Oryctolagus cuniculus: one gene and its partners. The protein of the gene in region 4 interacts with the protein of the main gene of each other region in a pairwise test. Links are inferred from orthologs where the notes say so. Each region holds a gene or a part of one and is shown on either strand. Other genes may lie near its edges.

Evidence for each region.
Region 1: the proteins of MTUS2 (region 4) and FAM161A interact in binary tests that used the Homo sapiens proteins (3 or more experiments, as listed by UniProt). The two-hybrid records come from large-scale screens. The link is inferred for Oryctolagus cuniculus from reciprocal best matches to the Homo sapiens genes MTUS2 and FAM161A.
Region 2: the proteins of MTUS2 (region 4) and DCTN4 interact in binary tests that used the Homo sapiens proteins (3 or more experiments, as listed by UniProt). The two-hybrid records come from large-scale screens. The link is inferred for Oryctolagus cuniculus from reciprocal best matches to the Homo sapiens genes MTUS2 and DCTN4.
Region 3: the proteins of MTUS2 (region 4) and TP53RK interact in binary tests that used the Homo sapiens proteins (3 or more experiments, as listed by UniProt). The two-hybrid records come from large-scale screens. The link is inferred for Oryctolagus cuniculus from reciprocal best matches to the Homo sapiens genes MTUS2 and TP53RK.
Region 5: the proteins of MTUS2 (region 4) and SNW1 interact in binary tests that used the Homo sapiens proteins (3 or more experiments, as listed by UniProt). The two-hybrid records come from large-scale screens. The link is inferred for Oryctolagus cuniculus from reciprocal best matches to the Homo sapiens genes MTUS2 and SNW1.
Region 6: the proteins of MTUS2 (region 4) and DCX interact in binary tests that used the Homo sapiens proteins (3 or more experiments, as listed by UniProt). The link is inferred for Oryctolagus cuniculus from reciprocal best matches to the Homo sapiens genes MTUS2 and DCX.
Region 7: the proteins of MTUS2 (region 4) and RAB3IL1 interact in binary tests that used the Homo sapiens proteins (3 or more experiments, as listed by UniProt). The two-hybrid records come from large-scale screens. The link is inferred for Oryctolagus cuniculus from reciprocal best matches to the Homo sapiens genes MTUS2 and RAB3IL1.

What each region holds. Positions count from the first base shown.
Region 1 is NC_091433.1:140,953,143-140,956,642, reverse strand, and holds part of FAM161A (protein FAM161A), read right to left. Parts: intron 2,138-3,500; coding exon 1,905-2,137; intron 1-1,904. UniProt on the Homo sapiens protein: Involved in ciliogenesis.
Region 2 is NC_091437.1:37,940,892-37,944,391, forward strand, and holds part of DCTN4 (dynactin subunit 4), read right to left. Parts: intron 3,400-3,500; coding exon 3,292-3,399; intron 2,135-3,291; coding exon 2,114-2,134; intron 1,717-2,113; coding exon 1,643-1,716; intron 1,526-1,642; coding exon 1,413-1,525; intron 741-1,412; coding exon 631-740; intron 1-630. UniProt on the Homo sapiens protein: Part of the dynactin complex that activates the molecular motor dynein for ultra-processive transport along microtubules.
Region 3 is NC_091442.1:12,878,750-12,882,704, forward strand, and holds TP53RK (EKC/KEOPS complex subunit TP53RK), read left to right. Parts: upstream 1-1,437; 5' UTR 1,438-1,489; coding exon 1,490-1,766; intron 1,767-2,876; coding exon 2,877-3,355; 3' UTR 3,356-3,455; downstream 3,456-3,955.
Region 4 is NC_091440.1:85,068,008-85,071,181, forward strand, and holds the end of MTUS2 (microtubule-associated tumor suppressor candidate 2), read right to left. Parts: intron 3,122-3,174; coding exon 2,905-3,121; 3' UTR 501-2,904; downstream 1-500. UniProt on the Homo sapiens protein: Binds microtubules. Together with MAPRE1 may target the microtubule depolymerase KIF2C to the plus-end of microtubules. May regulate the dynamics of microtubules at their growing distal tip.
Region 5 is NC_091451.1:23,450,505-23,454,672, forward strand, and holds the start of SNW1 (SNW domain-containing protein 1), read right to left. Parts: upstream 2,801-4,168; 5' UTR 2,687-2,800; coding exon 2,673-2,686; intron 1-2,672. UniProt on the Homo sapiens protein: Involved in pre-mRNA splicing as component of the spliceosome. As a component of the minor spliceosome, involved in the splicing of U12-type introns in pre-mRNAs.
Region 6 is NC_091453.1:82,194,930-82,198,429, reverse strand, and holds part of DCX (neuronal migration protein doublecortin), read right to left. Parts: intron 1,626-3,500; coding exon 1,488-1,625; intron 1-1,487. UniProt on the Homo sapiens protein: Microtubule-associated protein required for initial steps of neuronal dispersion and cortex lamination during cerebral cortex development. May act by competing with the putative neuronal protein kinase DCLK1 in binding to a target protein.
Region 7 is NC_091432.1:10,248,226-10,252,512, reverse strand, and holds the start of RAB3IL1 (guanine nucleotide exchange factor for Rab-3A), read right to left. Parts: upstream 2,801-4,287; 5' UTR 2,654-2,800; coding exon 2,499-2,653; intron 1-2,498. UniProt on the Homo sapiens protein: Guanine nucleotide exchange factor (GEF) which may activate RAB3A, a GTPase that regulates synaptic vesicle exocytosis. Promotes the exchange of GDP to GTP, converting inactive GDP-bound Rab proteins into their active GTP-bound form.

The DNA of each region.
Region 1 (3,500 bases), on a different chromosome or scaffold from region 4:
ATAAGAAAGTGTGGAAGCAGGGTTTTGGCCTACCAGTTAAGATGCCAACTGAGACACCCACAAAATGCTGTAAAAATGTCCCAGAGAGGATTTTCTAGCTTCACTTCCTGGCTCCAGCTCTTGAATCCAGCTTCCTACTAATGCAGACCTGGATGGCAGCAGTAATGGCTACTTGGGTTCTTGCTATCCACGTGGGAGACCCGGCTTGAGTTTCAAGCCAACCATACTGCCTCAAGCTTTTGGAATTCAACCAAAAGACAGAGGCTCTTACTCTGTCTACCTCTCTAATCAATAAAAATTTAAAAAACAAAAACAGTCTAGACTATAAAGCCCTGGAGCTGGTGTTATGGTGCAGCAGGTTAAGCCACTGACTGCTATGCAGGCACTCCATATGTGTACTGGTTCAAGTCCCTCTCTCCTTCTAACTCTGCCTTTCAAATCAATCAATCTTTGGAAGAAAAGAGACTAGCCCTGCCTACCTGTCCAGTCTTACCTCTTACTACTCCCTAAAGCCCCAGTCACCGTTCTTCAGTCATACCCAGTTCCGTGAAATCCTCACAAACACCCTGATTTCTCACGCCACTGCGCCTTTGCATACACGGTTTCGGCTGCCTACTCTCCTCTGTTTCTGGAACACTGAGTTACATCATGTGCAAAGCAATGTCAGGTCCTCAGCCTATCTTTGAGCTCCTTGAGGGCATTTTTCTTTGACTCTTCAATACCCAGGTAAGGTCTGGTGCACAAAGCTGCACATTGGACTGGATGAGTTAAGGGACTTGTGTGTTAAGTTTCAAAGTGAGAGGTTCACAGCAGAAATGGGGCTTGAAATTACAGACTATCTTGAAAATGGAAATCAGACTCATGCGTCCAAGGCTGAACTCTTTGTACATATCTTTAATGAGCTCGTGTTAATTCAAATATTACAAAAGACTATTTTTTAAAAGGAAATTATTTATTTATTTGAAAGCCAGAGAGAGGGAGAGGGAGAGAGAGAGATCTTCCATCTGCTGTTTTATTTTCCAAATGGCCACAACGGCTGGAGCTGGGCCTCTCCAAAGCCAGGAGCCAGGAGCTTCCTCCAGGTCTCCCATGCGGGTACAGGGACCCATGCCCTGGGGCCCTCCTCTGCTATTTTCCCAGGCCATTAGCAGAGAGCTGGATAGGAAGTAGAGTAGCCGGGACTCGAACAAGTGCCCATGTAGGATGCCAGCGTTGCAAGTTGGGGCTTTACCTGCTATGCCACGACGTTGGCCCCTATTAAAGTCTTTTACAATTAAACCACTGGGGGCCCGCGCTGTGGCGTAGTGGGTGAAAACATTGCCTATAGTGCCTACATACCATATGGACACTGGTTCAAGTCCTAGCTGCTCCACTTCTCATCCAACTCTGCTAATGGCCTGGGAAAGCAGAAGAAGATGGCTCAGGTTCTTGGGCCCCTGCTACTCATGTGGGAGACCAGATGAAGCTCCTGGCTCAGATCTGGCCCACCCTTGGCCATTGAGGCTACTTAGAAAGTAAATCAACGGATAGAAGATTCTCTCTCTGTTTCTCTCTCACATGCTCAGTAACTCTGACTTTCAAATAAATAAATCTCAAGAAAAAAAAAAAAACTTTAATATTCATCATTTAAAATGGCCCAGTCTAAACATTTTGATATGTATGCCCACAGGTCGATGAGTGGTGAGTCAGAGAGAAAATAACCAAACAGCTGCTACAAGGCCCTCAAAGCAAGAGGTTATCTCATAAGCTGGTAAACTGTTAAATATTATACATAAATCCCACCTCTGTATCTCATTAAGAATACAAAAGAATAGTTGAGAAAATACTGTGAAATAATTGTGTCTCTCACTTGTAAGTATATATTGTATTTTACAGTCCACAAATAACACTGAGTCCACACTTACCTCGAAGAGACACTGGGAACATCTTCCCTGACGATCACTGGCTGAACATCCTTTAAATTTAATTTATTGTGGTACAGTTTCTCTAATTTTGCCATAGTTTCCATGTGGGCAGCCTTCAGCTCATCTAGTTTCCTGAAATACTCGTCATTGGAGTGGTAAATGTCAGAAAAGTTTACAAAGTCCTCATAGCTCATACCACTATCCACCCCAGAGAAGTTGGTGTTAAAATCAACCTGTGGGAGAAAACACTCATGATATAATGTTTGTGTGTGAAAGACAAATTCAGTTAACACTGATCCAAATTCTGCTCCCATGTTGTTGTTGTTGTTGTTGTTAAGATCTATTTCTTTATTTGAAATCAGAGTTACAGAGAGAGGGAGAGACAGAGAGAGAAAGAAATCTTCCATCTGCTGGTTCACTCCCCAGATGGCTGAAACCAGGAGCCTGGAACTCCATCCAGGTCTCCAGCATGTGTGGCAGGGGCCCAGCTACTTGGGCCATCTGCTGCTGCTTTCCCGGGTGCATTAGCAGGCAGCTGTATCATAAGTGGAGTACCTGGGACTCAAACCAGTGATCACATGGGATGCCAGTGTTGCAAGTGGCAGCTTAACACACTACTACAATGCTGGCCCCCAAACACTGCTTCTTAAAGGGTCCAACTAGTTAGGCTATCAGTTACTTGTGGGATATGTAAATTTACCCTTAGTGATATTTTAAGAACAAGAGGCAGTGAGACTGAACTGCCAGGAAATAATATTACTTAATCCATTTTATAAAGAATGGTTAGATTCCCAGATCAATCAAAAAAAAAAGCTATTTAATCCATTATGTTCATTTAATCATAGGATAGAACCAAACCACCCTTCACAAAGAGCTTCTTAAGGAGCCTCCTTCTGGGCTGCGAGTTTCAAGCGAGATGACAAGGGAACACAGGTCCACCTGCTGTAAACCAAGCCACCACAGCTCAGTGCCTTCCCCGGAGCCAGGCTCCTGCCATGTGGCTTAAAGGGTGCCCCCGTGGAGAAGGCAAGGGAATGGGGCAGACATAGTTCTCAGTGGTGTATCGAGAAGCCAGCAGTGGGGTGAGACTTCAGACCAGAGTCAGGGGTCATGGGGAGGCACAGGAGGGATTTTCACCAAGCCACTCCAGCAGGCATGACAAGGACTGGAGAGAGAGAACAGACAAGGGCAACACATGGTTGTACTTAATATACAAGTCATGCCTGGAAGGGTCTGCCTGGAACCTTTCCCTCACTCCTTTCCATGCTTTCAATTGAAGCAACTAAGGAGATAAAACACCATTTTCTCCATGGATATAAAAATTGTTAACATGTTCTCAGTTGAGAAACAGTTGAAATTATTTATGATACTATGCATAAAAGGCTGCCAACCCTGGTTTTAAATTTAGCCTACTGCCTGGAACAGACTCAGAACAAAAAAAGCCTATTTGCTAAAGAGAATTATGGATCCTTAGGGCTGGTGCTGTGGCGTAATGGATAAAACTGCCACCTGCAATGCTGGCATCCCATTTGGGTGCTGATTCGAGTCCTGGCTGCTCCACTTCTGATCCAGCTCTCTGCTTGTTTCCTGGGAAAG
Region 2 (3,500 bases), on a different chromosome or scaffold from region 4:
AAGTCCACACACTGTGTTTAACTCAAGTCTCTTCTAACCTAGATCTGTGTTATTTAAAACATCAGCCACTAGTCAAACATAGCTATTTAGATAACTGAAAATGAAGGGCTCTACATCATAGGACCGCATGTCAAGTGTGCCTCGTGGTTCCGCCTCTGTGCAGATGTGGGAGAGTCCACCATCAGAGAAAGTGCTGTTGCCAAGCTCTGCTCTAAAACGCTCCTTTTGCCCTTTGCTCAGTTTCGTTTTTACAATTTCTTTATTAAAGAAACTATTTGTTCTGCAGACTGCCATAACTTTTTGCTGATTTTTCTTCTTTCTTTGGAATTATTTTTTATAGTTCCCTCCCTCTACCTCAAACTAAACTAGAAGATGAATAATCATTATTCTTTTAGTGGTTAACACTACGTCTTTAACCTGCAGGTGCCTGCTTCCACATCTGTAAAACAGAAACAACACTTGAGACTGCGCTAGAGCTACGCCAACTGAGTTTATATTGAAGGCATTTACGACAGTGTTCTGCACACCTGGTGTCTTCTGCAGTTACTACCTTAGTCAGATAGCAATCATGTTTACTTTAGTTTTGCTTTTCTCTCATACAAATGCACCTCCACAGAATGGGCTGCTTACCCGGCAGCGCAGCGACCGTTTGATCAGCAGGTGCTTGTGGCGAGGATAGAGCTGCGAAGCACAGACTGGCTGGAAGTCTGGCTGCAGGAGGCGCTGCTGAAGGGTGGTCACTAGCAAGAAAGCAGAAGCCAGGCTCAGGTCACAGTGACTTTCAGAATCAGACTTAGATGTCGTCAGTAACTGCATCAAACAGTACTGCCACCATGAACAGTGACGTTCAAAAATCCACACAACAGAAATTTAACATTCAAAAATTCTCTGATGACATCTACCTCCTTATTTTCTTTCTTTCTTTCTTTTTTTTTTTTTTTTTGACAGGTAGAGTTATAGACAGCGAGAGAGAGAGAGAGAGAGAAAGAGAGAGAGAGACAGAGAGAAAGGTCTTCCTTCCGTTGGTTCACCCCCGAAATGGATGCTATGGCCTGCGTGCTGCGCCGATCCAAAGTCAGGAGTCAGGTGCTTCCTCCTGGTCTCTCATGCGGGTGCAGGGCCCAAGCACTTGGGCCATCCTCCACTGCCTTCCCGGACCACAGCAGAGAGCTGGACTCGAAGAGGAGCAACCAGGACAGAACCAGCACCCCAGCCGGGACTAGAACCCGGGGTGCCAGCGCCGCAGGCAGAGGATTAGCCTAGTGAGCCACGGCGCCAGCCCTCTCTTTTATTTCTACAAGTTGCTTTACTACCCAGAACAATCCCCTTCAATATCTCAAATCGCAATGCATGCAAGTGGTCAAAGCAGACTTAGATGCAGACTAGAAATGTACAGTAATATTTAAAGTTACCCTCTGTTAAGTTCACGGGTCTTGTATAATAGTCTTCAGGCAGAGGTTCTACTTCATCTACAGCCTGAGCCGGCTCAATCTTTATCTCTTTCTGGTCCTCTCCTTCTTTAAGGCTAAAAGATAACAAGTAGTGATTTCTCCAGGGCCCACTGATTATGCCACGTCTAGGACATCAACAACTGAAGTGTTCCTGTCACAGAGAATCTTTTCAGTTTAATATCCACACTTACGAAAGTCCAGCAAGGGTACTGATGGATGTGCCAGCTCGTGGTCGCTGAAGCCTGGTCCCAAGACCGTATTTATCCTAAACAAAGTTCAGAAATTCCTATTAGCAAGTGACGATTTATACATCCTATTTATTGAAAGATTTCTGGGTGGGAAAGCATGAGAAGCTCAGGGAATAAGCCAAAAAAAAAAAAAAAAAGCTAATTTAAAAGCTTCTTTTAGAGAGTACTTTGCAACCCCACATCATTATCCTATTCTTAAAATAATAAAGGCACCAGACAAAGAGATCGAAACTATGTTAATATAGTAAAAGTGAACTAAATGTGAGTTTTACTATTAATCTAAAAATATCTAAGCTATGGCTCAGGCAAGAACTATGCAGAATGTCTAAGACACACGACGGACATCTTCTTGGAACACCAGTGATCATCTGCTAACTTCCTCGGGATCAGCAAGAATCATAAAAGAGAACTTACCACTACATGAATAGTGTGTTGCTGTGGAGCCCCCAAATAGCAGCAGGTTGCAACGGAGACAAAAATATGCAGCATAAGATAGAAGCAAACTCATAGAGCAGGCAGGTTACATGGGAAAGTTGGAAAAATAAAGCATTTAACACGAACTTCTCTCCTAAACAGAACAGACTAGCACATACGCCGATCACACCACTGGATTATCGAGCACATCAGTGTCGGGCAAGTGCAGGTGTGTCATAACTGTCGCTGTGTAGTAAACGCTATTCCAGGCATTCTGACACAGCCTTACAATTCTTTAGGTTTCAACGGCTTAACTAATTCTCATGTGGATGCAATTTGGCAAGTTCTCATTTCCTCAAGTGTGCAACAGGGGTACACTGTACCCCAAAGACCTGTTGTGAGGATAACATGATATGTGTAAAGTGCTTGGCACAGGGTTTGACACACTGTAACCATTCAACCAATGTTATTTACTAAATATCAAACTGCTGGCCTCAAGCAAGAACACAGAAAACAAACTGTTCTGTGAGAGCAAATAAAACTTGAGGTAAGTAACAGAAACTCCAGATCCTAACCTTTAGCTTCTGACTCGTAGCAACCGGTAGGGAAAGACTTCCACAAATAATTCCTACAAAAACTCCACTCGCATATCCAAGGGTATTTCAAAAAGGTTGTTAAAAAAATGGAATTTAAAGGTAAATTTATTTTAGTGCAAAAAATTTAAAATGCATGGATATGACTAGGTAACCAAACAAGTGTGTAATGTCAGTGTTTCCATCGTGGGGACACACGGCTGCAAACGGCTACCAGCAGGCTGTCAAAGGTGGGAGACGTGGGTGACGTGAAGAGAACATACTCTGCCCATTCTCTTTTCAGACCCTCTGTCATTCACAAAAGCTGCAAGCGGGGTTCTGTGGTGTCTACACAATTAAACAGCAGCCTTTTTGGGGGGACCATCAGAAGACAAAAGGGAGTGATGGAGAAACAAACACAAATACTCTTAAAACACAAAAGAACTCAAACAGAGCTGATGACGTGGCAAAAGCAGAACTGCTGGGCTTAAACATCTGTCACTCTGAGGGACCCCTCTCTGCTACCCACCATTCAGGAATGAAGGACACGGCCACTTTCTGAAATGGTCACTATTGCTATGCCCCACAGATCTTGCAAATCCTCACCGAAAAAGCCAGAGGCATGTAGTTCCTACGTCGTGCAAGTTTCTTGCGATCTCGCTCAACCTTTTCTTTCTGAGCAAGCTGCTGGTAATATTCAATCAATTTGTTCATCTGTAAGAAATCAAAGATGCGTATTTGTTTCACAAGAAAGCTAACAAGAAACACACAAAATTAAACAATCACACTGACAGACATGTAATAGAGGAGACAAA
Region 3 (3,955 bases), on a different chromosome or scaffold from region 4:
AAAAGACACAGACCTTTGGAAGGGCAGTTTGGCTGACGGATCGGATTTTAAAGAGCTTGTCTCCTGCACCCAGTGACATCACTTGTAGACAGACGTCCCCAGAAACACTTGTGCATGCTGCAATGAATGATGCCTGGATCAGCCTGTTCATCGCAGCGTTTCGTAAGAGAAAGTAAAACGACAATAAGAAATGTACTAAAACTTAGCAACAAGGAACCGTTTGACCCTGTAGAAGGATGTGGCAGCTCTAGATATTCTGATAAGGAAGATTATCTGGGACAAACTGCTTAGGGGGAAAAAAGCAAGTAGCAAAATAATGTGCATCATATTCTCATTTCTGTTGGGGGAGAAGCCTCACAATGATATGTGTGTGCATGCACATTGTATAAAAACATGTGGAGGGGCTGGCCCTGTGGGGTAGCAGGTAAAGCTGCCGCCTGTGACCCGCCATCCCACGTGCGTGCCGGTTAGAGTCCCTGCTGCTCCACTTCTGATCCAGCTCCCTCCTAATGGCCCGGGAAAGCAGCAGAGGGTGGCTCGAGGCTTCAGGCCCCTGCACCCTGTGGGAGACCAGGAAGAAGCTCCTGGCTCTTGGCTTTGGCCTGGCCCAACCCTGGCCATTATGGTCTTTTGAGGAGTGAACCAGCAGGTGGAAGACCTCTCTGTCTCCTCCTTTCTCTCTGTAACTATTTCAAATAAATAAATACACGAATCTTTTAAAAATGCATCTAGAAAGGCATGATACATATAAAGTTCTGTGGGGCCTGGTGAGGAGTATAGCAATCTTTGATGACTGAGTGCAAAATTCTTTATAGCAAGAATCTGTTACTGCTCCTATCAGCCTTGTGATAAAGTCATCAATTTCTGCAACACAGTTAGGTTCTGTCCCCTCTCGGCCCCAGTGATCTGGCCATCACCATAGTCCTGAGTCTGTTTTCTGTAAGGAGGGTTTTCCACCGTTTAACCTTATTATTCCCCAAGGCGCTGAGAGAAACGGTGGTTGCTATCCCAGCACCCGCTCTGACTGCAGTGAGCCTTGTGAGTTCCGAAAAGGCTCTACTGGCCGCAAAGCTTTCCAGGATCCTGAGGAACTCCTGAGAAGGGCAAAGAGCACCCCAAAAATCGTTTTAATCGAAAGTAGCCGAAGTTTTCCGGAAAGAGCCGAAGAACTGGGAGCCGAGCACCCCCGCCCCCGGCAGCTCGCCAGCGTCACCGAGGGCTTCCGGAAAGTGCCGAGCAGTGGTGAGGAACGATTTCCCGAGAGTTGCCGAGCGTTTACGGAGATAGCCGAAGGGCTGGGGGCGGAGTCACAGAGCCGTTCGCTGCGGGCACCAAAGGCTCTGACAGGAGCCGAAAGTTGGGAGGCGGAACCATTTTCCCAGGGCGGAAGTGTTGCAGGGGGAGCCGCTAGAGAGGCGGAAGAGCCCGGAGGATTTTCGGAGCGAGCGGAAGCGTCGCCGGCATTTCCGGGGAGGGCGGAAGCGCTGCCATGGCGGCCCCCGACGCTGGTGCCACAGAGAATCACGAAGAGCCCGCGGCGGAGGCGTTGGCCGCGGCCCTGGAGCGGAGCAGCCGCTTCCTGAGCGGCCTGCAGCTGGTGAAGCAGGGCGCCGAGGCGCGCGTGTTCCGCGGCCGCTTCCAGGGCCGGGCGGCCGTGGTGAAGCACCGCTTCCCCAAGGGCTACCGGCACCCGACGCTGGAGGCGCGGCTCGGCCGGCGGCGGACGGTGCAGGAGGCGCGGGCGCTGCTCCGCTGCCGCCGCGCAGGTGAGGCGGCGCGGCCGGGGCCTGGGGGTGCACTGGCGCCTGCCGCCCGGACCCCCGGTCGGGACGCGTCGTCCTCGCGCCCGGTCTCGATGCGCTCCGGGCGAGTTGCTGGCGCGTTTGGGCCCTGACTGTTGCTCGGTGGTGCACGGTTGCTTTGCCGCCTTGGCCTTGGGTTTTCCCGCGTGCGGTGTCAGGGTTTCCGTCACAGCAGCCGGGCTCTCTGGGCTCGCGTCTCGCGCAGCCTCGGCGTCCTTGCCTGCAAGGCGGCAGCGGTGCTGGGGAGCCCGCCTCCGGGGGCGCTGTGAGCGGTCGCCGGCTGTGTTTGAATGTCAGCCTGGCACGTGTTAGACTTCATTCGTTCATTTTTTTCATGAAAGCACCCCTGTGCCCCGCCGCCGGGAACTCCGACCTCAGCCGAGAACCTGGGGCTGGGAGAGCGGCAGCAGCTTTCCCGGGTCACATCCTCCCGACCTCCTGCACACCAGGGCCATGTCGGGGGCTGGGAGGCGCGGGGAAGCTGGGGGAGAGCAGGCGGACAAGTCCCGGGCGTTTCTGCGGTTCCGGAAGCTGCGGGCGTCTGTGTTCACCCCTCTCTGCGCTGCAGGCGCCGTGCAGCGGGGATCGTGGGCTGTAGCCCCGGGAGAGGTCTCCGTTTCTAGAACGTGGCCTCCTTGACTGTGCGCACTGAGGGTGGCGACCCCATGAGTAGCATAAACCGAGGTCGCACCGCTGCTAAGCGCAGGGATCGGACTCCACCCTTACAGACTGCGAAATGAGCCTCCCCGTGGCCACTCTGCCGGGCTCCGTTGTGTCCAGAAACTTCTGTCTGGGCCGGGCCTCCCCTGCTGGCTCCCAGGTTGGTGTGAGAACTAGGGTTCAGCCCCAAGTTGTAGTGTGGGGAAGGAGGAAGCTTTGGCCCCCCTACCCCGGGCTGTTTAATGGTCTCAGGCCTGAGCCCGAGAATGTTCCAGAGTCGAGTTGTGCCGTTTCCTAAAGCTGTTTCCTGAAGTGAGTAAAGACTGGAAGACTCACTTAACTTTGAAAATGAAGCCTTGACTAAGGGAAAAAACCAAGAATGCAACCCAGTAACCCCCCGCGTCTTGATTCCAGGCATCTGTGCCCCAGTGGTCTTTTTCGTGGACTATGCTTCCAACTGCTTGTACATGGAGGAAATCGAAGGCTCAGTCACGGTGCGGGATTATATCCAGTCCACCCTGGACTCTGAAGGAACCCCCCAGAGCCTCTGTGGCTTGGCCAAGGCGATCGGGCAGGTGCTGGCTCGGATGCACGACGAAGACCTCATCCATGGGGACCTCACGACCTCCAACATGCTCCTGAAGCCCCCGGCGGAGCAGCTGAGCATCGTGCTCATCGACTTTGGGCTGAGCTTCGTCTCGGGGCTTCCGGAAGATAAGGGCGTGGACCTGTACGTCCTGGAGAAGGCCTTCCTCAGCACCCACCCGAACACCGAGCCCGTGTTCGAGGCCTTCCTGAAGAGCTACGCCAGCGCCTCCAGGAAGGCCAGGCCAGTGCTCCGAAAGCTGGACGAAGTCCGGCTGCGGGGCAGAAAGCGGTCGATGGTCGGGTAGGACGCGAGGCGGCTCCACAAGGCTAGGCCGATCTTCAGGGTAAATCTGGACTCTACAAACGTGAGACTAGGCCTCAATAAATGTATCGAGCTGTTTTGAAGCCGTGTGTGTGGTCATGCCTGTTGAGTGTCGCCATCTGCAGTGAGTATTCCTAAGAGCTTGCGTGAGGTGCTCCAGGCAGAACTGGGTGTTTGCAGTCAATCCAGGACTGGGCATCAGCTTAGCGGTTGAGACCCCTGTGTCCTGTCTCGGGGTGCCTGGGTGTGGCGCGACCGGCTTCCCACCAGCGCTGATCCTAGGAGGCTGCAGTGATGGCTCGAGTAACCGGCCCCTGCCATCCCTGTGGGAGACCTGGATTGCCTTCCGGGCTCTGGTCCCTGCCTAACCCCGGCCATCGTGGGCGTATGAGAAGTGAACCAGTGCAGGGGAGTGCACTCTCTGCCTTCATCTGTCTGTCTCTTGAGTGAATGATTCACGAGAAAGTCAATCCAGGGCAGGCCTGCCTTTCAGCTTTGGTGTGTAAGCCTCAGGTGCGTAGACATAGCATCGAAAGCAGCCTGTGGCTGGGTGAGCAGAACGTTCGCTGTCGGTGCTGCTGGT
Region 4 (3,174 bases):
ATGAGAGGAGCGAGCACTTGCAGGTGAAAACAGGTGAGAAATTTGTGAAATCTATGCATAGTTTATGACTTTAATAATGTACACTTTTTGTGGGTTTTTGAAGACACTTCATATGCATGGATTTCAAAAAATTTATGCCCCAATAAATTAATATTTTAATTCCATTTTCCATGAGCTTCGTGCAGGACAGCCATCAAGGTCTGACCTTGAACCTCATAGTGCGGGGACTGTGTTCAGCCACTTGTGTCCCTCCAACCCACACCAGCCCACCTTGCCCCGCCGAGTGGAGCCACTGAGCCCCCAAGGCCGCGGTTTGCGCTGCTGAAGAATTCACCGGTCGGAGAGGAGGTCTCCAGGGTTGCTCTCAGTGACAATCAGGTGCCCCCGCATGTGCTCACACACACACACAGGAAGGAACCCAGCCTGCCAACACCTCCCTGCCTGGACTCTCCGGCCTGAGGGTCAGGTCTCCAGTGACACCAAGTGCATATCACAGAAAGTCCCTCATGTTCATTTTAATAGGCTTTAAACACAGATACGTTAACACAGAAACTGAAGGGAGGAGGAACGCGGTGACCCCATTCGACTAATCCCAGAGAGTGCCAGACCTCCATCCCACTCCCGCCCCAGGCTGACACCCAGGCCACGGTCACGTCTCCTGATTGCTACGAGACAGGGCTTTCCTGCTGCAGCGTCTATGTCTGAGAAGGGCCCCTGCCCCCGAGCTGGGAATGGAGACAGAGGCAGAGAGAAGTCCCAGTCCTAATTGTGTGTGTTCAGAGGGGAATGTCCAGGAGGGGGCGCAGCAGCACTAGCTGTTGTCCCATGTGTTTCGGAAACAGAAATGACTCAGATGAAGAGCTAGACGTGATGGGCGTCCATGAAGCAAAAAACAAAGCCAGGGTCATGTGGACATCAGCTCAACCCCAAGGTCACGGCTGTCCAGGGCAAAGGTCTGGTCCACCGGGTGGGTGAGGGATTACTTAGCGCTACCATCGCTACAACTTTGAGCGCACAGCCTAACACACAGCACCACACGCTAACATCGCGGGGGAGTCTGTATCGCTGGGTGACTGCGTTTGGCAGGCGGCGGTTACGCAAGACAGCGAAGCTGCAGCCTAGCTGCTGTTGGCAGCCTGCGCCCGCCGAGAGAATAAATAATCATGGCAGGATCTACTCTAACAGGATGCCCAACCCCAACATTACAGCAGCATGCAGAGCCACAGAAGCAAAAAGAAATGTGTCTTCAATGCCTATCTACCGTGGGTGTCCCCAGCACGGGCAGGGCCCCTGCAGGGTTGAGAGAAAACGAGATGTGCCCCCAGGCCAGGAAGCCCGACCCCCGGGCTCATGTCACCAACGCAAGCCACACGCGCGTTCCGGGCACGCCCCTGCGTGGCCTCCTGCGCGTTCTGGGCACGCCCCTGCGAGGCCTCCTGCCTGCCGTCCCCGGTTCTGAGCCCTCGCAAGACCCCTGCCTGGAACTTCGTGCCTTGGGTGTGCTCAGCCCAGCCTACGCTCAGGGCGATTTTTAGGGGTCTTTGGGAGAGGTGTACAGGGTCTTAGACAAAAGGCGCCATCACCCCCACTGACGGTCAAAACTACTTCTGTCACTTGTGTCTTCCACTCTGCCACGGGGGTGCCTCTTTGTATCCTAACGCTATCGTGTCCCAGACAGACGCCAGGCCGGTGGCCAGGGAGCCCTCACCGGCTGTGCCACTGCGCCCCGGCCCCGGTCCGGGAGCTTTCTCGGCCGGAGACAGGACCACTGTGTGGGGGAGGGGGGAGCACTGCTTGGCCACCCACCAGAAAGAATGACTTTTCTGGAAGCCTCTGCCGGAACCCCTGAGCCACCTTCATGTGCAGTGACGGAGCCGAGTCGCTGAACCAAACTGAAGTGGGGAACCTACCTAGGAAATGCAAGTCTGAGATCGGCTTCCAATGAATTGAGCGCATTTAGCAACAGCCTCGCAGCAAGCCTGGTCCAGACAGAGGCCCCGTCGCTTGCCAGTTTCCCTTCCTAAGGAATGGTGCACCAAGGGTCTCGGTCACCTCCAGGGTCACCCTCACCCTCTCTCTCTCTCTCAAGGATCCCGAAAGTTTACAGCTCGATTCTGAGATGCCACAAGACCTGTGCTCAGGAGACGGTAGCTGAGTCACTGTGGTGCGGAACACCTGCAAAGCGGCGGATTCCCCTGGGCTTTCCACGCAGGGCAGAGCGGCTCCTAACTAGACCTTGCGAGTGGAGCCCTCACCTGGGACGGCCTGAGACGCTGACTCTCACGAAGGCGGTTACCGTTCACAGATGGCTGGTGTTTATGCTAGATAGAGTACCACTTGGTGGTAGGTTCAAAGGCGCTTTTGCTCCGTATGGTTTTTTTTTTTTTTTTCCTTTTTCTATTTTGGGTAGAAATATTCCTGGGAAACTAGATAGAAATGCATTGTCATTTCCCAATAATTCTTAGGCACGAGTTAGAAAACTGCTGACCGTGACTAAAATATGTCAGCACTTGACGTTATAAAAAAATGCAACTGAGAACCGCCGCATGTGTATATCCGTGTATCTAAATACACACACATCTCGGTGCAGTACACAACGATTGCTGAGTGTATATTGAAAATTGAGCTTTTTGTGACCTGAAATTCTGCAGTGGAAGTTCCCTCGAGAACTGGAGTTGTCTTTCTTTTGGCGCTAACTATGGTAAAACGCTTGCACATCACACACCTTCCTAAATGCCAACAACACCAGGACAGTCTCACACGGTGGGGGGCAGAGGACGCGGCCTACGAGGCAGGATGCAGCTACTGAGCATGCGCGCTTGGGCCGGCTCCGGGCCGGGCCCCGGGTCAGTCCGCCCTCGCGGTGGACCGGAAGCCGGAGCTCCCCTAGGCTGCGTGGTGACGTCATCTGGGCGTCGTGCTGAGTCTGGCTGGAGAGGAGGGCCCCGAGGAGGCGCAACCTCGGTAAACTGGAGACGTTGGGGAGAGTTTAATCGGGCTGGTCGGATCCCCGGTTTGCAGCTTCCAAAGCAGCTCCTCGTTGGTTCGGCTCAGTCTCTTCTTCTCCTGGGTCTCCTTCTCCACATATTCCTGCAGATTAGCGTTCTCCTCTGACAGTTGTCTGCACGGGGAAAAGGACAAAGTTGGCAGTGCGTGAGCAGGTGCGCAGCTGGA
Region 5 (4,168 bases), on a different chromosome or scaffold from region 4:
TAGATCATGAAAGTTATCAACCTTATAAGTATTAAATGAAAAAATTCCTGAACCAGCTGGCATCCTGTCTGTTGCATGATTTCTTCAGTCTGGGTTAGCTATCTCTACCTCTGTTCCCATAAGACTTTCTGTGTGCCGGCACCACAGCTCACTAGGCTAATCCTGCGTCTGCGGCGCTAGCACACCAGGTTCTAGTCCCAGCTGGGGAGCCGGATTCTGTCCCGGTTGCTCCTCTTCCAGTCCAGTTCTCTGCTGTGGCCCGGAAAGGCAGTGGAGGATGTCGCAAGTGCTTGGGCCCTGCACCCGCATGGGAGACCAGGAGGAAGCACCTGGCTCCTGGCTTCGGATCAGCGCGATGCGCCGGCCATAGCAGCCATTTGGGGGTGAACCAATGGAAGGAAGACCTTTCTCTCTGTCTCTCTCACTGTCTATAACTCTCTCTCTCACTCACTGTCTATAACTCTGTCTCTCTCTCACTCTATCTCTGCCTGGCAAAAAAAAAAGACTTTCTGTGTATCTCTGTGTTTCATCACTAGAAATATCCACCTCACTGCAGTGCAGTCATCTATCCTCACACAGCACCATCACAAACTTTGAGGCAGGGCCCACGGATTTAACTTCTTTCATCCCAACTTCCCAGTAACTGTCCAGCTAACAGGGGCTCCTTAAAGATAGAAAATAGCTCACTCGATACTTCGCACTCATCATCCTGATGTCCCTACAGTCGTGTCATCTTTCCCTAAAAAGACATTGCAGGAGCTTTACCTTTGCTATTCCTTCTACCATGACATAGTCTATTTACTTACTAAAAGCAATTTTCCTTTACAGCAAACTCTTCCCCAACTTTTTAGCAGCCTGCATTTAGCAGCGCATCTCTTTGCTCAACTAATTACACCTTCCTAAAGTTGTGACCACCTTGTCCAAAAAAGCCACTTGATTCCAAACTTGGAGTCACCCTCCAACCCTTTACTGTCTTCCCAGTACCTGGTACCTGAAATGGCATTATTGATTTGTTTCACTCATATAACCAGAAGGCAAGCTCTGCACAGATAGGAATGCAAAAGTATAGGAAAAAGTTTCTCACTCATCAACCAATACAACACACCCAACACTTCTGACACCAGATGTGGGGGGAGTTTCCAGACATTCAGGTAATGTCCAATTCAATTCAATTCTGACAGATCCTGAGGGCTGTCTTGCAAGACTGCCACACTTCAGATACCAATTTCAAGTGTGCTCAGGGTATACTCCTCACCCACGAGGTATAAACTGGGGTTCCACAACTCCCTCCTTGAGTTCAACTGGCTAGGCCAGCTCACAAAACTCAGGGAAACGTTTACCGATTTATTATAGAGGACATTAAAAGTATACAAATAGCATATGAAAAGCAACACAGTTGCTAAGACTGGCCACTTAAAGACTGCATTCTGCCATTGCGATTTTAAGCACACAATACCCTCAACATCCCTGGTATTTTCCCTGCATATCCACTTCAAATTCTAACTTTTTCTCTTGACCCTACTTGTCTATGTCACAATGCCTCGCACCTACCTGTAACAGTTTCTAAAGCAAACTCTTTGATCCACGCAGTTCTCTTCATCTAATTGCTTTTTGCACTAAGACTATCATCTATGTAAATGAGCACTTTGATAGTTGTATGCCTTGGGCCCCATCTGCGTTGCAGCTAAAGACAGATCTCCTGGATACGTAACGCCTGAATACAGCAAGGCACTCAACGTCATTCCCAAAAGAATGGTCGCGTAAATTTTTTTTTTTAAATTCAGTGTCATCGGCCTGGCTGAAGACGCTTGAGGAGAACCAAGCATGGTCAGGGAGCTCAAGCTCACGCCCTAAAATGACAGCTTCCTTTGCAGCCCATTTTTTCACACTCGACTTTTCCAGATGAGTTCGCGGGGAAAGTTTGCCTACTTAGACCGGGCAGCCAGGTCACGCATAGGGAATTATGTAACTTCTCGGAAGCTCCCGCTTAGAGCATCTTTTTCTCCTAAAGGAAGGGAGCGCTTGGCCTTTGGTTACCAAGGCAACCGGGCACAGCAGCGCTCCAAGGTGGTTCGATTTCACCGAAGAAATTCTAAGGTTCAAAGTTAAAAGTGCGGAGCGCTGGCGCCTATGGGGACACAGCGGCCCCCACTGTGGCTAACTGAAGACTCCCCGATCAGTTCCGGATCCCCCTTTTCGGGAAGCTTTGTTCGGGGCGACAGAGTGGATAGAGAAAAGGAGAGAGCCAGAAGCGAACAACGGCCGGAGCGTCGCGCAGTCGCGTCCCGCGCGCTTCCCTCCGCCCGCGTAGGCAAGCCCCGCTCCCCACGGTGCCATCGCGTCCCGCGGAGCCGCCGACCCCAGGGCGCGCGCTCCACACACCCGCAAGGGGCTTCAGCGGAAAACACGTGCCGCTCTCCAGCTTCTGCGGTCCCGCCGAGGGTTTCGGCCTTGCCCAGGGGCCGAATTCAACCCAAGGCCGCTCAGGAAAGACCCCAGCGTCGGGGAGGCCTAGCCGCCGCGGCGACCGGCGGGAGGCCCTCGCCAAGCTCTCGGCTCTCTTCTTCCTGTGTCCTAAGCCAGATCCCTGGCTGGAGACGACGGGGCAGAGACATGAAAAAGAGGGGCACTACCAGACCCTTCCGTATCAAGGACCCAAATCAACAACCCACCTGGTGAGCGCCATCTTCTTCCGCTTCTTCTAACGCGAGCGACAGCGCCGCGGGGCGGGTCTTTCCCGGCAACCAGGAGCGAAGAGGGCAGAACCCGCGATGCGCAGGCGCCGCCGCCGAAAAGCCTTCTGGGACTTGTAGTTGTTTAAACGTGAGTACAATTCGGGTCTCTTCTGACCCGTGGGGTTTTACAGGACGGCCCCTGAAGTCAAGAGTAAATGGCTAACTTGATTACTCGTTTACTGTCACATGACAGGACATTTCCTTGGCTAAATAACGAGGGTGGGGGGAGAGGCATTTTAAACGCCTTTATTTTATTCCCCCGCTCAGACCCATTCACCTAGAAGAGGTGTCTAAGTATAAGAGGCTGCCCGAAGCAAGTTGAGTGGAGGACAATGGGGTTTCTGAAACGGTAGGAAATCGTGAGACCGGAGCGTTCTTGGACGCTCTGAGAACATTCACAATCAGAAAACTGTTCTTGAACCAGTACCCTTTCTTCCCCAAACACTCCTGGGGATTTAACTGGGATAGTTCAAACCGTTGGTAGAAAAAAAGGGAATTAAAATATAGTTATTTTATGCACCAAAAAAAATTGAAATTTAGACAGTTTTTTTTATAATAATATACATTTTCCATGAACCTCTTGAAGACCCACTGTATTTTTGTGTTCTTTAGCAAGTCACTTTGAGAATATTCCTTATGTGTATAAATATATATGTATATACCTACATACATTATATATATATGATTTAATATATTCAGTAAGATTTATAGGAGGCCATTCATTTGGACTGAGCTTCTGAACAAAGACCTGTCAAAAGTCAAAACTGTGACAGATTTAGTTTGAAGATCTAATCAGGGTTCAGCACTGTGGCATAGTGGGTTAAGCTGCCACCTGCAGTACAGGCAATGCCGGTTCAAGTCCCAGCTGCTCCATTTCCAATCCAGCTCCCTGCTAATGCACCTGGGAAAGCAGCGGAGTTTGGCCCAAGTGCTTGGGACTCTGCACCTACGTGGGAGACCTAGAAGAAGCTCCTGGCTTTGGATCGGCCCAGCCCCAGCTGTTATGGCCATTTGGGGAGTAAACCAGCAGGTGGAAGACCTCCCTCTCTGTCTTTCCATCTCTCTCTGTAATTCTGCCTTTCAAATAAAAAATAGATTATTTTTTCAAAAAAAGATTTAATTAGCTTTTAGTTTTGATTAGCTTTTAGTTTTTTTTTTAAGGTTTTATTTATTTAAAAGGCAGAGTTACAGAGAGGCAGAGGCAGAGAAAGAGAGGTCTTCCATCCACTGGTTCACTCCCCAGTTGGCCGCAATGGCTGCAGCTGCGCAGATCCAAAGCCAGGAACTAGGATCTTCTTCCCAGTCTTCCACGCAGATGCAGGGGCCCAAGGACTTGAGCCATTTTCCACCGCTTTCTCAGGCCATAGCAGAGAGCTGGATTGGAAGTGGAGCAGCCAGACTCGAACTGGAGACTATATGGAATGCCGGCACTA
Region 6 (3,500 bases), on a different chromosome or scaffold from region 4:
CTAGGGGTCAGGCACTGTGCTTAGCACTGAGCATACAAAAATAAAGGTAATGACTTGTTTCTTTGAGGGGCTTGGTATCTAGTTGGGGAAGCAGACAAACAAATACACATTTTGCAACACAGTCTGGCGAATATTATCCCAGAGATATGAATGATATGCTGTGATATTACAGAGAACAGAACAGCCATCTCTACTCTATGAGAGGTCTTGAAGTATGAACATCAGTTTTCAAGCAAAGACAAGTGGCAGGTCAGAGGAATGGCATTCCAGGAGTGAGACAACAGGATGTGCAAAGTATGAAAGTATGTAAGAATGAAAAAATGAGGCTATCTTTTTATAATTTAGTTCCCCCTGCCTGAGTATAAATTAGTGGCTGGTGATATGCATACTCCTAGCAGGCTGTTGTACCAGGCACAGGAATTTCAAAGCCAACAGGCCGCTCAAGTTGCCCCAGATGGAAGGTGCTTGACTTCCCCATGGCTCTTAGGCTAGTAGAGTTCTCATGATGAATCCTGAACCTTGCCAAGATAAATGTTTAAGTCCTCTGGACCATAAAATGCCCTTAATATGAAGAACTCACATTTTCTGTGCATGTATGCTAAACTTATGAACTTGGGCTTCTGTGGTCCTTTATTTTTAATAAAAAATTAGAAAACATTGCCCTTTAGATCAATGCCACTCAAACTGTGAGTCCAAGAAAAGATAAAGAGTTTGAGCCAGTGCATGAATGAACACACTGTTGCCTTTATCAATAAAATTGTGCTCTCAAGAAATATAAACTGAACTAAATAGTTTGCCTAGTGGCATAGTTGATTTACATTTGGCACAAGCTACTAATCTCATCACAGACTGACTGCTAACAAATAGTTCATGGGTTGGCGGTTATCCATAGAACACATTTTTTAGATAACTCACTATCCATTAAATACAATCTTTATGACAAATCTTACTGTTTTCTTTCAGAACTAGTTCTACGTTTTCTTTCTCCGTTGGGAGAATGATATGATCTACCTTTTATCTCTTTTATGTATATTTTTGGTGTACTTGACTTCCTTTTTGTTTTGGTTTCTAAGTAGTTCAGAGCCAAATTTGAAGCTCGAGTACATCAACCTGGTTGATACTTATTGGTGTCATTTTTTACATACTTATTCTCCATTTGGATTTCCAATTTAAAATTTGACTCAATCATTTCATTGAATATGTTTTTGCTGAATGAGAATGATGACAATGATGACAATCATGACAATGAGCATTACAGCAAGCAGGACAAATTGGCCAGATTTCTGGTCTGCATCCATTTGAGTAGAATCAGGTTATCGCTGTGCCTCCATGATTCCAAAAACGTTTGAAGTTTTTGATCTCTGAATTACCAGAATTTGCACTCATGGAAACACAGTAGTACTCATGAGGAACACAATCCTCTGCATGCAGAGGGTACTGGCCTACATAGTGAAGTCAGCATGCACAGTTAGGAGAAGATCACTCACCGTCTTGGTCGTTACCTGAGTCAGCTGGAGACTTGCTTCGGCGCATGGGGCCGGGGCTCTTGGCTGAACTCTTCTGAGGTGTTGGGGATGCCTTTGGGCCAGCTGTGGCCGATGGGTTTCCCTTCATGACTCGGCATTCTGAGGCAAAAGAGACAGCTTAGTAGGAGGTAAAATTGAGGCTGAGAATGTCATTAGCCTTTGGAAACAGGAACAACTAACATAGGCCAAAAACACCTCAGTGGTTCAGGGCTCTAATGTGGTCCTCATTGTTTGTAGGAACTATGGTTCTGGGGTAGGTGGCATGGAGGCATTTTCAAAAGTCATCTGGACTAAGATACGTATTTAAGACCCTGGATTATGGAACAAGGGCAGGAGTTCAAAATTCAGTCAAGTAGGTAATTAAAAGTCCACCTGAGGTAGGCATTTGGCATAGTGGTTAAGACCTGTTAGGACAGCTGAAGCACATATCAGTGTGCCGAAGTTTGATCCCTAGCTCTGTCTCCTGACTCCAGTCTCCTGCTAATTTGGACTTTGAAAGACAGTAGTGAGGGTTCAAGTAATTGGGTTCCTGTTACCCATATGAGAGAAATGGATTGGGTTTACACTTGCCAGATTTGGCCCCTCCAGCCATTGTGAGCATTTGGAGAATGAGACAGAGGATGAGGACTAACTCTGTCTCTTTATCTTTCTTTCTCTCTCTTTGTCTCCCCCTTCTGTGCAAAAAAAGCCAACTCATTTATTTGCTAAAGACTTAACCATATCTCAGAAGAGCATCAATTGATGCATCCTTTAATTAGTTTCCTTGGAGTTGAAATTGATAGCTCAGAGGTTGCAGCTACACAGATCAACCATCCATGAATAATTTAAAAGTGGGAGTAGGAACTATCATTTATTGTCTATTATATGCCACAAATTTATAAGATTTACATAATGGATTTCGTGTCATTTAAATTTATTTATTTATTTATTATTTTAGAGGCAGAGGGACGGAGAGAGAGAGAGAGAGAGAGAGAGAGAGAGAGAGAATATGAATTTCCATCCACTAGTTCACTTCCCAGATGCCCACAATGGCCAGGGATGGGCCAGACTGAATCTGTGGCCCAGGAACACAATCTAGGTCTTCCATGTGGATGACAGGAACCTAATTACTTGAGCCATTAGCATTGTCTCTCAGGGTCTGAATTAACAGGAAGCTGGAATCAGGAGCTATGAATTGAACCCAGACACACTAATGTGGAATGTGAGTATCTTAACCACTAGGCAAAACATCAGCCCGTTATGTAATTTTATATAAATAAGCACTATCACCACCATCGTCTTGCACGCATAGAGTTCTTTTGATTTTGGGTGCACACTATCTTAACCCCATATGGTGGTTTAATGAATAAATGTGCCAGGAGTAACTCTGTCATTCAGCTCATGGTTGTGAAGGAGAATGTGCCAGATGTTCCTGTATTTGCCTCAAATCCAATCTGACACATAGTGAGCATCTTTATCATACAATCATTCAGTATTCCATACTATGGTCATCTGGGGCTTTGATAGTGCTAAATTTTTAGGAGGATCATTATACTTATATTGCTGATGAGCAGCCTTTTGTTTTGGGCCAGGAAGCAAAAAAGTAGAACAACAACTACAAGCCAAATCTCCTGAGTCTCAATTTAGTGATCTTTCCACTGACATTTTCTCAACCTTGTACTGTGATATGAAAAGTAGAATCAAACATCTGGAAACAGAGTAGTGTTTTCTTTTAAAAAATTATTTGAGAGGGAGAGAGACAGAGATAGAGAGACAGAAGAAAGACAGAAAGAAAACTCTCATCCAGTGGTTCACTTCCCAAATACTCACAATGGCCAGGACTAAAGTCAGGAGTTAAGGATTCAATGCAAATCTCTCACTTGGGTGGTAGGAACCCACTTACTTGAACCATCACCTGATTCTTCCAAGAATCTGCATTAGCAGCAAACCAGAGTTTGGAGCCAGAGCCAGGACTCTGATGTGGGATGCAGACAT
Region 7 (4,287 bases), on a different chromosome or scaffold from region 4:
CAGCTTTGGCCCAAGTCCCCTCCCCTGCCCCACACCTGTCTGTTCCCTGCAAAACCTTTCCCTGCATCCCTGGCCACGCTCCCGGTCCCTTTGTACCACCTGCCCTGAGCCGCCACCGGGCCTTAACAGACCTCCACAAACTTGGGACTGGATCCGTAACCCTTCTCTCCCGCTGGGGGTGCCATCCCCACCCTGCCTGTCTGGAGGAGGCCAGGGTGTCAGGGGAGGCACTTCCCCTTCTAGATGAGACTAGCACCCTGGGTGCTCCACTCCAGGCTCACTGGCCCTGGGACCCAGGTTTGAGTGTATCAGGTCTTCATCTGGGGATGCATTTCATTCGTTCATTCACTCCCCTTGTGAGCACAAACCATGGACCAATGCAAGGGATGGGGACCCAGGGGGAGGCCACACAGACGCAGACACTGCCCTCCTGGTCATGGGGGCATGGGGGATGGGGGTAGGGAGCATACTCTCAGGACCTCCATTGCCAGAGCCACTGTTTGCCCAGGGCACATCTTGCAGAGCCAATGGTGTCTCTGTTGGAAATAGAAAACAACGCCTGGGGCGGGCGCTGTGGCCTAGCGGATAAAGCCACCGCCTGGCGTGGAGACCCTCGAGTCCTGGCTGCTCCTTTTCTTATCCAGCTCTCTGCTATGGCCTGGGAAAGCAGTAGAAGATGGCCCAAGTCCTTGGGCACCTGCACCCATGTGGGAGACCCAGAGGAAGCTCCTGGCTCCTGGCTTCTGGCTTTGGATTGGCCCAGCTCTGGCCCTTGTGGCCAATTGGGGAGTGAACCAGCGGATGGAGGGCCTCTCTCTGCCTCTGCCTCTCTGTAACTCGGCCTTTCAAATAATAAATAAATCTTAAAAGAAAAAAATAGAAAACAACGCCTTTCCCAGCTAGGAGCAGCTTACACCAAAGTACGGGACGGTGAGTAGAGGCAGGCTGGATGTCACGCCTTGCTTCATCTTGTGCAGTAAACAACCTGGACAGCCCTCCATGGCACACCTTGCGAAAACTTTCCGGAATCATCACCCCAGGCCTCGCATGCCCTTCACTCTGCAGGGCAAGTGTTTCCATGACTTTTGCTTCCAGAAGGCGGGACCAGCCCCTTCCTGGAGCTGTGTTCCTCCACCCACCCCAGCCCAGCTCAGGGTCTGGCCCCAAGCAGATGTCAGCATATGTTTGCTGGCCCGAATCCTTCACCAAGCAAGTGTTGAGCAACTGCTCTCTTCCTGCTCCTCACTCTGTTTAGGGGAAGGAGGGGAAGACACACAGGAGCAGGCCCTTGCTTTCCAAGCCAGGAGGGAGATAAACCGTGGTAGCAGAGAGCCTGGGAGATAAGAGTGGAGGAGGTGTCAACCCAGGCCTGTGGCCCCAGTCCTCGGGCCTGGCAGGCTGTTGAGCAAGGCCTGAAAGGACAAGTGTGTGCTCGCCACTCTGCCAACGCTGACGACAGTCACTAACCCAAAATATCCGGTCCTCTGTGCATCCAGCCCCAGGGGTTCCTGGGCCTCCCCTGCCCCCACCCCAGCATGGCAAACCCTGCCCCTTGTCTGAAAAAGAGGGGTTCAGAGAGGCCAAGGAAACTGCCTGATGCCACACAGCCAGGGGTGGAAGGGTCCAATTTTCTTGCACCTGTTTTTCCATAAAGACAACCCAGAAAGCAGAGGGTTCCCTGGGATCTGGCAGGTGGAGGCGGTCAGGCAGGTGCCCCGGGCCCAGCAGGCAGGGAGGGAGGGAGGAATAGAAGGTGATGGGGCTGCCGCTGTGGCGCAGAGGGTTAAAAGCCCTGGCCTGCAGTGCTGCCATCCCATACTGCTGGTTTGAGTCCTGGCTGCTCCACTTCTGATCCAGCTCCCTGCTAATGCGCCTGGGAAAGCAGCAGAGCATGGTCCAAGTCCTTGGGCCCCTGCACCCACATGGGAGACCCTGCAGAAGGTCCTGGCTCCTGGCTTCAGGCTGGCTCAGCTCTGGTCATTGTGGCCATTTGGAGAGTGAACCAGTGGATGGAAGACCTCTCTCTCTCCCTCTCTCTCTCTCTCTCTGTAACTCTTTCAAATAAATAAAATAAATTAAAAAAAAAAAGAAAGAAAGCGTGCAGGCGAGTCTCTGCCCACTGGCCACTGCCCTCCCAGCCTTCTTCCCTCTGTCCGGTCACCCCCTTCTCACCCACGGCTGAAGGCAGATGCAGAGCAGGAGACCCTCAGCCTGGCTGCCCCATGCCCTGACTCTTAGATCTGACCTCAGCTCACTGGGTGACCCAGGGCCAGTGTCCTGCCCTCTCTGAGCCCCATTCCCTACCTGCTGGAGAAGACAATCAAGACCACCCCCCAACCCCCACCCCCGCCTCGGAGCTGATCTTGTAGGAGACTCAGGCAATTCTCCTGATTCCTGTGCCTGGCACCTGGCACCTGGCACCTCATCCCTGCCGTGCCCCCTCCCCCTGGGGGTGACGCGATCCCCCTGCCCCCACCCGACCCAAGTCCCTGGCTCACCTGTCTGTGCCCCAGAACTTTTCGCCCAAGCTCCCCTCCAGCGCAGGGCCCAGGCCTGATGGGGCATAGCGGACGGCCCCTGAACTCATGGCCAGGAACACTGGGCATGAGCCTCTGGCGGGGCACCCGGAGGGCTCCTCGGTGGTGTCGTCCATGCGTGAGGAGCCAGCCAGAGGGTCTCTCCGGAGACCGGCAGGAGGGCAGGTGGCAGAGCCTTCTCTGCAGACTGGCCAAGCCTTACACTAACCTTTGCTATCTCTTGGGAACAGCTGCCTGGGAGGGAGGCGCCTCCCAGACAGGCCTCTGCCTCCTTCAACCCCTAATTATTAACTCCCGCGGCTCAGCAGGGCGGCACAAGTCCCTGGGGCCAACCTACTCAACCTACTGGGCTCTGGGCTGGGGAAGGCGAGACACTTCTGGGGGGAGGTCGGGAGGTCGGAAGCTTTTCCAGGAGCCTGGGACCCCAGGCTTCAGCCAGGCCCCCGATGGGGCGCTTGTCTCCACTTCACCGAGGTTGTGGCTTTGGAAAGTCTGGTCCCGCCCTGGTCCTGTCATGGGACCAGGCCTTGCACAGGCCCTTCCCCCACTACCCCCGGCCTCAGATCCCCCTGCAGCTCAGTGTAGCGGTAGAGACCACAGATCTGGAGTCGGACAGGCTGTTTTAACTCCCCTTCTCGTCTACGAAGCTTTGGGCAGGTTAGCGTCACCATGCCTCAGTTTCCCCAACTGTCAAGTGGTGCCTCACCCTCTGAGGCACCCCCGGCCAGCTGCCATTGCCCCGACATGCCTCATCTGCAGCCTCCATGCCTTCCCACCCTCACTGATTAACTCCTCTCTGGCTCATGCCCCTTCCTCCAGGAAGTCTTCCCATGTGGATTGCCTGCTTCCTCCGCAGGCACTGGACTAGAGCCCAAGGACATGTGGTTAGCTTTGTCAGGAAACTTCTGGACACCCCCAAGCAGCACAGAGTGACCCTCAGCCAGAGGCTGGCCGGCCCCTGTCACCAGTCCCATCTCAGTGCCCCCTGGGCTGGCTCAGGGTCTGCCTCCAGCCAGCTGTGGCTTGGCTGCAACGCGCCACCTTGCCGCCCTTGGCCTGAATTCTGATCCCAGTCCTTGCTGTGTGACTTTGGGCAGCTCACTTAACCTCTCTGGGACTCAGCCAGCCATTGTGAGTGTCCAAGAAGACGCGTTTGCTAAGAGTCTGCCTACGGGCAGGCTGCACGGGAACTTGCCTTTCCCCTTCTCTCTCCTGCTTTCTCGTCTGCCTGCCCGGGTCCCTGCTGGGGAGCAGCTCTGGTCCCCCAACAGCGCCACACCCTGTCCGCTGGACAACACCACGCCCCTCGGGGCTTTGGGCTTCGGAGCTTCTCCGCCTAATGCAAACCAGATGCTGGCCTCCCTTTCCCAGCAGCGAATTTTCCATGGCTGGCTCCCACCCCCTTCCTGTTTTTGCTCCTCGCGGGTCCCCTTGCTAAATTCCCCCATGGCCCCACCTTCCTCTGCCAGGCTCAGACCTCAGGTTCACCTGGAAACAATGAATGGAAAAAACAGGATGTGGGGGGGAGGGGTCTCCCCATCACCCCGAGATAGCAGGAGGGGAGGGGGCTCAGGCCGGCTGGTGGAAGTGGATGGGAATCAGTGTCCTCCCTGCCAAGCCCCATCCAGCCCCTCAGGGGTGGGGGAGGGAAGATGGACGTCTCTGGACATTTGGACACAGCTGGGCTGTGACGTCCGAGAGATCTGATTCACTGGTGAGCCAGGGTCAAGGCGCGCTGGGGTCTCGCACA